Linked DNA regions of Drosophila melanogaster. The protein of the gene in region 1 interacts with the protein of each later gene in a pairwise test. Each region holds a gene or a part of one and is shown on either strand. Other genes may lie near its edges.

Region 1 (5,410 bases):
TCAAAAAGTATTCTTCTCATAAGAATGATTAACTTAAGGATTACTTAAGGAAAAATACCATAGCAAGCTTCACACGCACCCCAACCACCTAGCGCGAGGTCTAATCCAGCTCAGCAGCCGTTCCCGTCTCCGGCGAAAGGACCTACCAACCCAGCGAATAAATTATTAGGGCCGTTTAAACATAGAACAGTTGGAAAAATAATACAACTGTTCAAAAAATACTTGTTATAGTTAAGATTTTTAAACTTATTGTTAGTTCTTATACAAGAAGATTCAATAAATAAAAGCAAAGTAAAAAAAAAAAAAAAAAATAAGAATGATTGTGTCGCCGAGTACGCTGAGCACAGCCGATATCGGGTCTTTTTTCATCTGAGACAAACTTGAATATATGTATTTGTATTCGTCACTATAATATGCATGCCTTATCTCAACTAATAAACCAGGTCGACTTGGCAAGTGACCTTGATTGCAAATCCACTTATAGGGTCGGAATCGCTTTCCTCTACCTGATACTTTACAACAAGTACAAGTACAACAAGTATACCAATCAAAAAACTTCTAACACTAAGTTCTCTTGCCAAAACAAGTGTCAAAAATCCTCATCTCAAATAGTATTCAAAAATCGGTCACTTGTGAAATATTTACCTGGATATTTTTTGTCACCGAGACTTTCGTGTCGTTAAACGTATACTCGCCATTGGCCACCCGGTTGGCCACTCGTCCGAGGGTCCCACCGATGTAGGCTCCCTTGTTGGCCAAGTAACTGGCGATGTCGTCGAAGCCGAGGCACACATCATCCACCTTCTTGTAGGCGTCCGGCAAGCAGACGCTCTGGATGATGGCCCCCAGTTGGATCACTGACACGGTCATGCCCTTGGAGTTCTTAAGCGTGTACCGGCGCACCATTTCGGGCGACTTGGTGAACGGATTCACGGCCAAGCCGAAGATTTCCTCCTCTAGGGTAATCGACATCTCGGCGCGTCTCGGTGTCGTTCCTTCCCCTTGAAACGGCTGACAGCAACTGCCTGGGTATCAGGCATACTCCGATCCGGCACACCTCTGTTATTATGAATTGCCAAAGTCGTTCGGGTCGCGAGCTTCTCCCTCAAAGTCAAACCGGGCAATCAGCTTGTCAGAAGTCGATTGCCCATCCCCCGCATTTTACCGCCCACAATAATGAGAGATAAGCTGTCCTGTAATCGCCACTTGACTGGAATTTAGAATAGTTTTTCAGGGGCGCGACTTTCTCGAGAGCTCATAAAACAGAAAAAGCTTTTTGTTTGTTGTTGTTTGCTTGTTTGCGGCGAGTGTTTGCATTGTATCTGTATAGTATGTCTATAATCATTTTTCGCCACTTAAGTTGATAGCAGTACTTTTGTATGTTGTATGATTATATTTAAGAATATTTAACAGAAAAAATCAGTTAACGGGTTTTTCTTTCATGTTTTCAATCTTTCGGCTTATATATGTACTATACTTACGCACCCCACTCACTGTGCTTTTCGTCACTACGAAGACTTCTGTGTACAGCGATTGATCAAGTTTAATCCTTTGGGCTAAAGAACTACATCATGGTTCTACTTAATCGTCTGACATAATGGGTTATAAAATATCTCATGTGCTGGCCCCCAAATACATCTTTTAGATGATTTGTAGTTTCCATGATCAATAATTATTTATGCAATAAAAATCGAAACGCGATTTTTAGAATTATTTAATTTGATAAATATTTTATTTAGCAATATTTACATTTTTGAGCAAGAGCTGTGCCATCAATATAAGTTTGTATGTACATTTTCATTAAACAAAATAAATGCGGCCCGTTCTCACAGGAGCTAGTACTTGTTAATGTTGAACAGCCGCACGCCGTGGAACTGCGGCAGCTTGGGAAGCGTGACGACCACCAGGGATATAAAGTTTGGGATAAAGTGTTCCGTGTTGTTTCGGGTGTACAGACAGGTAAGTAGGAAACTATAAAAAAATCAATTATTTCATGAGTTTCTATGTTAGGCATTATATGGTAGCAATTACATTACTAGTTCAATTAAACTGCAGTACATAAAAAGTATTTATTGAAATACTTTGATCAACATTAAAACAAGTTTAGAATTTAAGTCTTCATTTAGTTTTAATTTTTTTAAATAAAAACCCACCTATATTGGCCGACTTTCAGTACGTATTCACTTACAGAACAATGGGAACAGCTGTGAGGAACTTGCGCGTTGTGGTCATCTGTACCCCGTCATCGATCTGTTCCCAGTGCGTCCAACGCCGGCTGGGATCGTTCTCCGTGCTCAGCCAGGGAGCGCCCTTGATGACGTGCAGAAAGTACAGGTGGGCCTGGCAAGAGGGATTAGGATAAGGACTGACTCCTCAACGGCGCCATGAGCACTCACTGCATTGTGAAGCAGGTTGGTAGCCGTCCAGGCCCATGGAATGCTAACGAAGGGCACTGATAAGAAGAGCAGGTGCACCGACAGCAGGCCCAGGAGGTATGCTAGCCAAAATCCCCGGGCACTCAGCCAGGAGCTGTTTGGATTCGCCTCGCCGTGGCCTCCCGCAATGGACGTCATGTGGCTGAATTGTTAACCTTTGGTTCCGAAACACTTTAATAACAAATATTTATCATTTACGCTCAATGTGACCGCGCATGCATACAAATATCGCTCTGCACTTTGATGATAATAAATATACCAAAATAATTTAGAGAAAACAGAAATTTGAAATACTTTAAATGTTTAATAAAATTTGAATTTAAGCTTTTGCAATTTTCTATGAAATATAACATCTACCTTTAGTAAAGGTTATGACTACTTTTGATTTGTCGGACCAAACCTATATTCAATATAATCCGTATATCTGTCGTAGTTTAGGTAAGTACGAGGAAGAGAGGAACGCTTAAGACTTATCATGAATTTAGCGAAATAAAATTTGTTTAAGTCGTAAGCTGTATTTGTTTACTTATTTGATTAGTCCTTAAAGTTTTTTTTAGCTGATATTTATTTTTATAGGATTATAGTTTCTTTCAAATCTCAAGAAACTTTAAATAATCATTTTCGGTTTCTTGGAACAGAAACCCCAAATTAAACTTTATGCCAATAAGACATTTAGAAATCATTGGAAATTTTAAATAAATATTAAATCATCGGTATTAAATTATGAGGCCTGTAATTTATTTTTTAACGAAAGAATGTTTGAGCTTTTCTGTTCATTACAATACCCTTGTAGCTTAAGAGAAAATTCGAGTAGGAAATGAGGCACAATTACATCATAAAAAATAGAATGTAAAAGTACCAGAAGGATGTATAGAATATAGATGTTAATTGCTTCATTATATTTACCCCTCATACTAAAAAATATAACATACATAATTGAACAGGCAATTGATACAAGCTTTGAATCAGAATACATCGAATATCAAATGACGCAGTGGAAATATCATAGTTCCGTTTTATATTCCAGTATTTTATTATAGCGTGACCAGCCACTGTGAAGGATCAGCCATTTTGTTGTTTTGGCGTTGAAATTTTTTTGCCATGATGAAGGCATAGAAAAAAGGTTCTGAGCTATTTAGATCGAGAACTTTTTCATTTGCCGCAATTCTTTGTCAAAAATGCCACAGCATCATTAAGTAAATACAGTTTACTTAGGAACGCATAGATATGAGCGGATCCAATGCAAAGTCCTCGGGGACTGGTAAGTACTAATATATACCCCCATAACTAAGATGTCCGGAGCACCACTGACACAAATCTGCACAGGCTTCGGCAGCCACATTCCCAGCATCGAGGAAAAGAACAAGCAGATCCAGCAGGAAACCATGATGGAGAAGCTGCGGGCCAAGTACCGGAACAAGCCAAAGAGCTACGAGGAGATCAAGAAGTCGGTGCGTATGTACTTTATCGAGAAGCACTACCCTCTGGACCCCCTGTGCAAGGCCACGCTGCAGTCGGCGCTGGACAAGTTGCAGCACTACATCAAGGTCACGTCACGCCACGGCCTTGTGGAGCGTTTGGAGAGCCTCTCGCGCCAGTTGGGCCTCAAGTTCATGGAGGACCAGCAGCTTCTCTTCATATCAACGGACATGTTCTACGTAGAGATCCTGCTGGACGCCGCCGGCAGTCTGTCGGACGTCAAGGTGCACCACGAGTGCAAGATCGAGCAACAGTCCAGCGAGCTAGTGGCCTGCCTCAAGTCTGGCGACTTTGCAGACTTTACGGTTCAACTCGAGGGTCTGTCCTCCATTTACCAGCTGAATGCCGAGCCCAAGGTGAAAAAGAAGGCGTTTGTAGCGCTTCAGGCCATGGAGACGGATATCCAGAGCCTATACCAACTGCACCTGCAAGGTCACTCCGGAGACAGCTACTCACTTATGACAAGTTCATCGGTGGGTCTTGTGCTGCCCCGTCGCGGTGGCCATCCTATGAGGCTTACTTATTTCTGCCCGCCGCTCCACCTTCCCGAAGGGGATCCCAAACTGGCCAGCGGCGATTTCACCATCGACCAGGTAATGCGAAGCAGCTACGGACTGAGTGCCACTATCAATCTCGAAGGCTCATCAGCCAACAAACTGCAGACTTTGCCAACGGTGACTTTGGTCCGCGATGCCCAAACGGGGTTGGAGGTTCCCACCTATGCCCAACTTAACCAGAACAACTCGCTGCTGATGCCGGCCACGTTTGTGCTTCGGCTGAACAAACCCATGCCTGTTTGCCTGGAATCACTAAAGGCTCTCGGTCTGCCCGGTCTAGACTCAGTTGCCACTCCTCCTGGTCCGCCCACCACAGTGCTTAATCTCATAGTACAAACTGCATCGAAGCAGGCCATTAAGAACACACAGCGCGGCCTGTATGTGAATTTACCTAAAGAGACGCACTGCTATTTCTTTACCGACAACCGCAAACTGCAGGGAACTCTGGTGTCATCACTGCCCTTCACTGAACCCGCCCAGGTTCCGCGAATCGTGGCGTTCCTCAAGAAACAAGCTCTCTTCTACACCCTGCTCGCAAGCTGTGTTCGTGAGCAGCAGAAGCAGTATAATGGTGAGTTGGGTGCTCCACTTCCCCCCACATTCCTGTTTTATGATAATAATATTTTTTTTATGCTCATTCGTCCCAGATATGGACAGCACTGTGATACTGGAGGTAACCGCCGTTTCATTTAATCAAATCACGGTTGAGCTGCAGCACCCGTACGAAGAGTCGCTGGCCACTGTGGATTTTCTGCTTGAGGATGGTCAGCCCACGTGCAGCGTTTACTGTCTGACCAACGAATACGAGCTGCTGTCCCAGAAGTTAACCCGCACCGCGCGCAAAGTGGTATCCATTCCGATGGTAATCTACAAGTTGCTTAAGTGCTGGGATGAGGAGCACGAATTCAAACTGCATGGCGCGATTGGACCTGGATCTGG
Region 2 (10,348 bases), on another chromosome or scaffold:
ATTAGACGATGCGGCTTGAAATACATATGCGCTTAGCTTAATGGTAGACTAGTTTTGCATTGACTTTCAACTAAGAGTATTCACACAAAATCATGCAGTTCACAAAGACGCGGTTTTCTAAACGAGCTAAAGAGTTTTCTAGACATGCAAGTTTGGCTTTAAGTTTTGACCGAAAATGATTAAGGTTTTCAAGAGCATAAAGTTTTAAGGTTTACTTTAGAGGGAGTAGACACAACGTTGGCGTTTTAAAATCAAAACGAAGATATCAAAACATACAATATGTATATATATACAAATCAGATATCAAATTATTGGCAAATCTGTTTCGTGGCAATCAGTCATAATGTTCGTCGTTCAACGAAATTAGCAACGAAATTTCACTCGGCCCTTGCAATTAGTTAGTTTCGTCTGAATCAAGTCGTGTTCATTGCCAAATTATATATATATAAAAATCGATCTACTGCTCGTCGTGTCCAATTATTTCGATGTCATCAGCCAGAGGACTTTCCACTGCGGATTTGCCTGCATTTCCATTTTGTTGATTTGCGTCCAAATTAATCAATGACAATGTCATTCTGCTGCTAAGAATGATCTGCAAGTTAATTAAGTTAATTAATTGATATAGTTTAGTAGAATGGCTTATCCATACGGCTGGTTCCTCGGCTGAGCCATTGAGCTCCGAGTCGTAGACTTCTTCGCGTTTGATCTGGGAGTCGGCAACCAAAATCTGGGACTCATGGGCCAAAGCGCCTTCCAAGTAAATGGACTGCGGCTCCGGCAAGTTGTCTTCCAATTTGGACTGAAATCGAAGAGGGATTCTATTTAGTATTTCTGATATACATATTTAAAAGCTTCAACACATATGCGCAGAGGAGGTTGAGAGCGTAGGAAACATCCCAGTTTAATCACTTTTTTTTGTAGGGATATATTGAAAGCGTTAGGGTAGCAGTTAGTCGAAACTAGTCTAGTTAAGTTGAGAACTTGAAAGTGGTGGGGGGTCTGTGCGTCAGTGGCACTTACATGTTCGCTTGGCGCTCGGAAAACAGGCGTTGGAGGGCGTCCAGTCCACTTGTGGCCGCCCTCGCAACTGGCTGTTAACTCCATGCCGAGTACCTGCACCAATATTCGATTATTTACGGCAAAGATCTACGTACTCAAAGGTGCTATACAGGGTATATAATGGCATACCGTCAGTTCCTGTTCAGCGCTTAGATCCCGCCGTTTCCTGGCTCCCTTCGCCACGGTCTCCTGCTCCGGATTTTGGTCGGTGCTGCTTGCATGTCCATTGGATAGGTTCTGCTTGTCTAGTGGTTGCTCCCTCGTTTTTTCGTTGTCGTTTTTCTGCACAGGATACACAGGATATAATACGGTTAGAGAGGACACTCTCGAAACAGTCAGTAGAATGTGAGAGCTAAGCAATTCTATACAGCCTCAAAACGCAAGAAATCAGAAATCGAACGCATTAATTACTTCAATTCGTTGTGGTTAGGTGAAACGCAACAAAACTCAATTAGTCGAAGGATCTTGGTTAATAAACAAAAAGATTAAGTTCTTGTTACAAATTATATGTTCAAGGATTGCCGTGCCGGACCCTTTGAAGGTCTCTAACCTTATTCGAATCAGTTTCAGTGTCGCTCGTCGCCCTCTGCTTGTCTTGGCCATTCAATTGCTCGTCGGCCGCGTCTATCAAACCTTGTATGGCCGTAACAACTAGCCCCATGAAAGTACAGGGTATCAATTTGGGATTTACATTCATTTTTTTTTTTGTGTTTTTGCGAGAAACATGAAAAACGTAGAAACGACACAGAGAGTGAATATTTATATAGTTGTTTCTTTGTAGCTCTGAGTATGAAATGATGTTTGCGATTATCTTTATTGGCAATGTAAAGTTACGTATAGTGTTCGAATAGATTTCGAATAAGACTGCTTTGAATCGTAAAATATGTCCCCATCATAAGAGTTTAGTTTAGTTCAGATCGAGAGTACTCAGTGAGATGCAAACACATTTAGACTGGGTTCGTTAGTAGATACGAGTATGTGAAAAGATATGTTTATATATATATATATATATGCATATATCGCATGCCGACAGCAGACAAGCAGGTTAAATTAGAAACAGAGTCGGGAGAATTCCGTTCCATGCACTTGTTAGACTTGAAGATTAAGGACAGAGTGACATAGTTTTAGAACTGAAGGCTTTTTTTGGGGGGGAGGATGTGGCAGGGGGGTAAAAGAAACCATTCCGAGGATTCAGCTATTCACTAGAAACCAATTGAAAACAGAAATAATCTAGTTGACTTTGTTCGTTGTACTTAGTTGTGATCTGAGTTGTTGTTGGTCTGATTTTGGTCTGTTTTACTGACTGATTCTATGTGAACTGAATGATGGTTATTATTGTCTTAGAAGTTTGGCTGCCGCTTGAGAAACTTGAGGGCAATCATCTTGAAAATGAGAACACAAAAGAGATCAAATATTAATTCAAATGACAGCGAGATGGTCCAACTGAAATCACTACGATATATGATGTGCTACTAGATGTATCTGAGTCGCGTTGTATAGCTATATCTGTATCTGTATCTGCTTTTTTCCGATTCGATGACGATGGTAGGAAGCTACTGGATACTGGATGCTGGATGCTAACCTTTGCCTCATACTGATCGGTGTTCATTTCGGCCACCAACTGGGCCATCGCCCGCTCCGTGCTCTCGAGTTTCTGGCGCAGCTTCTCGATCTCCATCAGCTGCTCGGCCTCCTTCAGCTGCTGGTGGCTCTTCAGAGAGGCGGACAAACTGCTCGCCACCTCGGTGGCCGACACACTGGCGTTGTACAGCTCCTTTTCGGTGTCCTTGGCGGCCGGCTTCTTTGCGGCGGCAGTGGCGGTGGCAGCTCCTATAAAATTGTCGTACGGTTTGGTAATCAGGGCCGGAAATCGAATCAATCGAGGGACTAACGAAACTAAGGAGTATTTACACGGGTGCAGGAGTGGCAACAAAATAAATGTATATATCCATGGAAGCGTGATCAATTCGGGGTTAGTATATATATATATTTATAAATAGTATATAGGCACACAACATCTAGAATGAGTACATCTAGGTAAATGAAATAGAACACATAGTCGCTACGATACTACGATACCAAATGAGGAGGACATATTTCAAAACTCAAAAGGCCTTTGTCGAGGTCTAGAAACTCAAGATACGAACGAAACTCTATGGTCATCTATGCAACCATCTATATATATCTGGCTTACTTGTCTGATGCTCTCGCCAGCCTGATACCGTGGCATGATTTTCGGTGTGCATGGGTTTTTTTGGAAGCAGAAGAGTACAAAATGCGATTTTTTTTCGGTTAGGATTGAATCGTGAGTGCGGTGGCTAGAGCGATTGTGTGTGTGTGTGTCCAACTACGAGTGTAATAATCCGGAAGATGGCATCCGAATTGGCCTGGCACTCACCCAGTTTGCTGCCGCCCAAATCCTCCACCTGGCTGTGGTTCTGTGATCCGAAGACCTCCTGCCGGAAGGCAGGATTTGGAGGCGCCGCTCCGTACGGATCATTGGGAACTTGCTTCTTGAACATAATCTGCATGTAAGAGTTTTATAGTATTATAATTACATATATACGATCAAAGAGAGTCACCTTCATTAGGGTGTAGCCGAAGAAGACTACGATGCCAATGGTGTAGAGTGGCATTAGGAAGCCCATGCTGCTGCCCCGCTGTTGTGGCTGATGCAGTGCACCGGCGCCCATGGGTGGACGCATTCCAGGAATGGGTCCAGGCTAGAAAGTACATACATATGTCAAAAGTTACTGAAATACAATAGAATGCCGCCAACAATCAAGGTCATATTAAATGTATCAGGTATACGCCCCGGTGGTTTCTTAAGTCAATTGTCTTTAGATATTTTTGAACTGATCGAATATGTATATTCTATTGTCCTATGTAATCATAAAAATTACGTATCCGCCGCGATGTATATTGACATAAAGATTACTCAAGACAGTTGTCTTCGAAATCTTTTGAATTGATGTCTTTGTAGGAGAAGGGAATCGATTGTGTTTTATTGACAACCCATGTAATCATTAAAATTACGTATCCGCCCCGTTGTATTTTGACATGAGGCGAGGACAGCTGATTTGTGCTCCCCGGCCATTCTAGCATTCTAGTAGCGATGAGAGCAAAATGGAACTGGCGCACTGAATTTGGCACAAGTTCAATACGCAGCAGCACATTCGGCCGATCTCCCACTCATCATTTACAAATTCTTTTTTTGTGTTTTCTTTAGCGCTGTCTCTTGCCTTCAATTTGCGTGCAGTGTCATAAAAACAAAACCCGAATCCGAATAAAATAAACGTTTGGCTATTTATAAATGACTTCCAACGCGAGCGCGGATATGTCTCATCCCGCCGTCATTATAATCACATCGACCACAGCCCGCCGACCAGTATAACTATATATATTATAATTATGGATTTATCGTCCGGAGAATAATGCACACCGTATGGTTAAATGTATAGTAGCCCAACTCACCCGTCCGTCGACAATCCGCGGAGGCGGATTACTGGGCGAAGTCTTTCGTTCTAGAATCGGCACGGTGGGCGTGGCGGGAATGGCGCGACCCCGCTCCCTCATGGCCTGGTATATGGATTCCGGATGCAGGTGGGCGGGACGCTCCTGGCGCAGACCTGCGACCACAATGGATTCATTAGTAACACAATTAAACTATCAAATTTTTAATTGACATAAACACTACATTTTAGAAACCCAAACATTAATAAACTCATTAATACCGTAAAGGTTAGGAATCTAAATGTATCTCAATCGATTGTTTCATGTAGATACAATCTTGTTAGTAGAGCCAAACACCGTTAGTAAAACCAATAAGCAAATTATAAATAATCGAGCCACATACTTATTTCGCCCGTGTAAACATTGATTTGCTTGCGATACAAATGCGGACCGAAGGGCTCGACAGTGTCCTTCTTCGTGGCATTCAGAAACTGCTCCCTGTCCAGGACGACATCACAACATCCTACAACATCGACCGGACAACAACAACACCCACATACGGAAATCAAAAGAAAATCATGATGATAATTCATAAATAATAAATGATAAATGAAATTAAGTAAAGTACAACATTTATAAGCCCTAGCTCCTAATGTGGTGAATAGAATCTGATGACTTACCGCCTGGTGCTGCTCGTGGATCCTTGAAGTTTGGCTGGCTTGGAGGCACTCCTCCGAACATCATGGGATGGAAGACCTTTGGCCACAGGATGGCAATGCATCCGATCACGGTTACGATGATCAGGGCGGTCTTCTTGGGCGTCATGCCCTCCTCGACGAGCGGAGCTCTCGGCTTGGATGTGGCTGTAGCGGGCATTTTGGCTTGGTAGCGGATTCCGTGGGCTATCTGGATTCGTTTGGCTATGGGTTCGTGGTTAAAGCTAGTCCCTAAGGCAACTCTGCTATGTGTTCCTGATCGATTTGGTTCGTTGATGGCTCCCTGCGAGCTGTTGACTATGCGCTGTGTTTCTAGTTGCTGTTTAACTTTGGCATTGGCTCATTTTGGCTGGCTAATGGTTGATTTGCTGTACGTTTAAAGCATTATCTGAAAGATACATAGATGCATAATCGGTTACACGCTACAGTTCGCTGATTCCGGCTTTCGTTGGAGTTGTATTCACATCACTGATCGGTCACGAATCGCAGCGCAAAATGCTGTATACGTTTGAATATTGTTGCGGGAAAACAAAAAAGTTTATTACATAAATAGCGGTCCCGATCTTTTTTATTTTTAGCTCGCGCAATTCGCTCTTTTCGGCCCGTCTAATAATTCTTTATTATTTTCACTTTTCCCACCGCACAAATCACAATTAACGACCGCATAAATAATATTGAACGTTTCTCCAAAAGAAAATGCTTTCGTATCGCTTTTGGAAAACGGTTTTTGAACGACCAAGGGTTCGAAAAAAAATGAAAACAGAAAACTGGACAGAGCGACTGCTTACGCAAAGTTCGAATGTTGTTCCCGAACTGGCCAGGCAAATTTTTGAAACTATTAGCGAATTTTCGGCAGATCAGATCTGAAGACCCGACACACCATTCGGGCGCGCTTTTCCCCATAATCGTCGTCGGCCATTATTTTCCTTTATTTTTGATGAGACAAGTGATTTGCAGCTTGGGCCTGCACCGGGAATTTCCGAGAGCTACGCTACAGCAGCCGACATAACATTAATGCTCTCTAATTCATTTCGGAAATAGATTTTAAATCAAAATACATATAACTGCTTGGGAAATTGGGCAAACTTAATTTGAAATATTTCAGCAAAAAAATTTTATAATATAATTTTAAATTTAATTTTTTGAGCTATTGCTGCTGTTTTGCTGACCAGCACTGTGTGCGAAATTTCGTGTTTTCATATTTTTCATTTCGCAGCTTCTTCGCTCTTGTTATCACACACGCACACACACACTGCCAAGTGCTATGAGTTTTCCGACCGTTTTCCATTTCGCTTTCAAGCGCACTGACTGAAAAGTGGCGAAAGTAAAATTGTTTTTACTATGCACGTCTGTTATTTGCACAGCATCTTCTTATTTCCACCACTTTTATTTTAAAAATTTCCCTCTTCTTGTCACTGTCTACATTAATTTGGAAAACGTTTTTCGAGCTCTCTGCGCTTTTATTTTTGGAGGCACAGCATTTGTAATTTGGGTTCAATGCCGTTCGGCTTAAGACTCATCACTTATTTTTAAAAATTATGAATTCAAAGTGTGGAGATTTTGTCCTTGGAATTGCTCTCGTGTTCTGAGGTACCTTTTAAATAATTATCAGTTTCGTTTTTAAAGACTAACACCTTTGGTTTCAAAGTTCGTTTTCTTATCTAATTACGCTAATTTCAAACTGTTTGTTTGTCGTTATAAGTTTCTCTGCCAGAAAGCAGCAGCAATAATAATTGATTTTTCAGTCGACCGAACGGAGATGGGCAGCATTGGCTGTCAATCGATGCATGCGAGTGCTATCGATACTTTTCTATCGTTTAAAGTTAACGGATCCTTTACACTGATAGAAGGCTTATGGGATTTAATAAATTTTTGTATATTTGTAATTGTTTTAAATGGAATCACATTATTATTAATATATAAAGGTCAAATATATATTTGGTTCGTAAAATGGTTACTTTATTATGCATTATTATGATGTTAAACTAGACTAACTATATATAACTAAGGATCAACTAAGGATCCAATATAACGGTAATACGTAAAATGCGGAATATACAAATATTAATTCGCTCAGCACTGTTGCCCTTTATCGAAATTAAAATTATTCGATTTATCGATAGCATCGTGAGTGGTCCACCCAGCTCCAATGTTTTCGTCTTCTTTGTGTTATAAAATTAACAATTTATAAATACGCATTTTCCGCTGGACCACCGAATATCGTCGTGACTTTGAAGAATCACAGTGCTATCAATCCTCGAAAGCAAAAGGTTGTAAAATCGAAAGTGAACGCGCGCCTGGCGTGACTGGTTTCTAGGCTTTCACCCCACGAAACTGGAGCTAACAATGGACAGCGAGTCGTTGGCCTGTTCGTCGGTGGAGAAGGACCTGACCCGAGTGGTCAGCAAACTGGAGCAGCTTCACGAGAACGCAGAGGCGGACATCGGAGATATAGCCACACAGATGTCGGAGCTGGTAGAGGTTCTCAGCAGGGCGGAGCAGCTGGTGACCACTCTGAACTCGAGCACCCAGGTGTCCCAGGACGATCCCATGGGCGATGCGGTGAGCATGCAGGTGGAGACGGAACCGACGGCACCACAACGCCTAACCGAGCGCCAAGTGGAGAGCGTCCGGAATGCTCTCGCCAGGTGCCACGAGCGCGTGCAAAAACTGTCCACGGAGCACCGCGATCTGCACGGCTCCATTTCGAAGATCGGCAAGGCCATTGACCGCAACTTTAGCGCCGACTTCTCGTCCACCATGCGAGTGGACGTGCTGCAGGACGAGGAGAACCTGATGTTGCTGAACAAGGCCATTGCCAAGCATTATTGTCGCCAGGGCATGGACGATGTGGCTCGCACGCTAATCCGCGAGTGCAAGATGTCGCCGGAGCATGCCCAGGATGTGTTCGACTCGGAGCGCGAGTTTGCCGACATCTACGGCATTTGGGTGAAGATCCAAAAGCGGGATCTGACTGACGCCCTCAAGTGGGCAAAGATGTACTCCCAGCAGCTGAGTGACCGCCACTCGCTCATAGAGTTCCGGCTGCACCGCATGCGTTTCATGCAGCTGGTCTCCTACGGATTGGACTCGCAGCGCGAGGCCATCTCCTACGCTCGACTGAACTTCAAGAAGTTTGCTGTGCGCTATGAGCACGAAATAGCCAACTTGATGGCCAGCTTTATATATCTGCCCAGTGGACTGGAGAACTCGCCTTACAAGCACTTCTTGGGCCAGGAGAAGTGGACCGAACTGTCGTTCATATTCCTCAAAGACGCATGCCAACTGCTAGGCATTAGCAAGAACTCCGCCCTGTCTGTTGTGGTCAATGCCGGATGCACTGCCCTGCCCGCCTTGCTCAATATCAAGCAGGTGATGCAGTCGCGCCAAGTCCTTGGCATGTGGAACGGCTGCGACGAGTTGCCCATTGAGATCGATCTGCAGCCGGAATTCCGATTCCACTCGATCTTTGCCTGCCCCATATTGCGCCAGCAGACTTCCGAGGACAATCCGCCGAAGAAGTTGACCTGCGGTCATGTCATATCCAACGACGCCCTGCACAAGCTGAGTGTTGGCCACATACTGAAGTGCCCCTACTGCCCCGTGGAGCAGAATGCCGAGGAGGCTGTTCGCATCTACTTTTAAGCCACATCTATGTATTCACCTTATGATAATCACCACTGCTTATATGACCAGGCTCAGGCGGTTCGAGGACTGGTGTTGGTTGGCCGGCTTTCCTTAACAAAACGTAACCATTTTAAGATAGCTTGCTTAGATTCATGTTTTTAGACAAATTCGCAGAGCGGAATCGAACTGCCTGGGCCGTCTGTTTTGCGTGTGTCCCACTTCCTAACAAACGATTTAGATTTAAAATTATATATACTGTGTATTTAAAACAAACGACGAAAGTGTTTTTATGTAGAATCCATGTTTAATTAAATACAAATCGTCCGAAGAGCAGACACTCTAGTGCCTATGTTTGTGCTTGTGCTTGTCGCTGCGATGTCTCGGCGGCGATGGCTCTTCTCTGCGAGAGGAGCGCGAGGAGGTTGGAGAACTGCGTGATCGCGACGATCCGGAGGCAGGAGTTTCGTAGCGGGAGCTGCGAGACGACCGCTCTGTATACCGCTTCGGTGAACTGGACGGACTACGCGACCGATTGCGTTTCGAGGATTTGGATGAGCGCGAGGTTTCGGGTGAATAGTCACGTCGTTTGGATTCGCCACCAGAGAACGGCGAGTGGGATCGTTTGCGGGAACTGCTTCTGAACAGCGCTGGACTCTCACTCACCTTGGAGCTCTTGGATTTTATGTGCATGTAGCTGAGCGGGGAGTCTACAGTTGCCTCAGATCGCGAGTCCTGTTCGTTCGCAAAGAATTCAGTTGTTACATCCGACTTACTGTATGTTACAAATCTTACCTGTTTAAGTAATCGCTTCCGGAATTGTTCCACTTGTTCGGGGACACTCCAACCTGGTTCCAGGCGGCGCTTTCCGGACTCCAGTTCGTCCTGGTACTGAATTGCTTTCGACTCAATGTCTCTTAACTTCTGACGCATCTCGTCGGTGTACTTTTGCGGATTGTCTTCTCCACTGTCGTCGTCCGAGCTAAAGAACTTCGGTGGATCTGGCGGATCGAGAGTGTCCCATTTGCTGGTGGTAATCGCCTGCGCTTCTACTTGCTGGGGATCAACTGTCTCCCACTTTGAGGGTATGAAGCCAGGCAACTTAGCCGTAGATTTGGTTTCTTTTTCCAACGGTACACCGTCGAGATCATCATCCACTGGAATTAAGGATTATTTACTTAGTAGTAAGAAGGTTTAAATCACTTTCTTATGCTTACATGGTATGCCATCGATTTCATCGAGGTATTCATCTTTCTTAGGTGTGTCACGCTTTGGAGTACCAGCATCTGCATCAGGTATGGCTCGCTTCAAGGCGCTCTTAAGCAAAGCAGCTCCATCTAGTGGCACTCCGTCTAGATCCTCGTCGTCCTTTTCCTCTCCGGAAAGGGGCGCACCGTCGATATCTTCGTCCAGAGCCTCATCAAATCGCGTTTCCTCGGCTTGAGGTGAGTTATTGACTGGCTTGACGTACTAAACACAAGATTCCATTAGACTAC

What was found. The genes of interacting proteins can lie anywhere in the genome.
Region 2: the proteins of ORMDL (region 1) and RIC-3 interact in a two-hybrid assay, tested with the Drosophila melanogaster proteins (one large-scale study listed by BioGRID).

Annotation. Positions count from the first base shown.
Region 1 is NT_037436.4:21,632,548-21,637,957, reverse strand, and holds ORMDL (orosomucoid 1-like), read right to left. Parts: upstream 2,654-5,410; 5' UTR 2,574-2,653; coding exon 2,397-2,573; intron 2,341-2,396; coding exon 2,189-2,340; intron 1,972-2,188; coding exon 1,836-1,971; 3' UTR 1,707-1,835; downstream 1-1,706. Other genes in the region: CG32444 (uncharacterized protein), read right to left, coding at 646-972; MED1 (mediator complex subunit 1), read left to right, coding at 3,663-3,696, 3,762-5,042, 5,119-5,410. UniProt on the Drosophila melanogaster protein: Negative regulator of sphingolipid synthesis.
Region 2 is NT_033778.4:21,014,427-21,024,774, reverse strand, and holds the start of RIC-3 (RIC3 acetylcholine receptor chaperone), read right to left. Parts: upstream 6,992-10,348; 5' UTR 6,823-6,991; intron 6,631-6,822; exon of another isoform or gene 6,507-6,630; intron 6,044-6,506; exon of another isoform or gene 6,017-6,043; intron 5,713-6,016; exon of another isoform or gene 5,693-5,712; intron 5,617-5,692; 5' UTR 5,389-5,616; coding exon 5,193-5,388; intron 5,036-5,192; coding exon 4,916-5,035; intron 4,689-4,915; coding exon 4,534-4,688; intron 3,783-4,533; coding exon 3,642-3,782; intron 3,585-3,641; coding exon 3,458-3,584; intron 3,275-3,457; coding exon of another isoform or gene 3,254-3,274; intron 2,890-3,253; coding exon 2,642-2,889; intron 2,442-2,641; coding exon of another isoform or gene 2,400-2,441; exon of another isoform or gene 2,313-2,399; intron 1,711-2,312; coding exon of another isoform or gene 1,610-1,710; intron 1,342-1,609; coding exon 1,189-1,341; intron 1,114-1,188; coding exon 1,021-1,113; intron 800-1,020; coding exon 650-799; intron 593-649; coding exon 458-592; 3' UTR 1-457. Other genes in the region: Sou (souji), read left to right, coding at 7,575-8,873; CG9346 (uncharacterized protein), read right to left, coding at 9,195-9,587, 9,648-10,009, 10,070-10,322.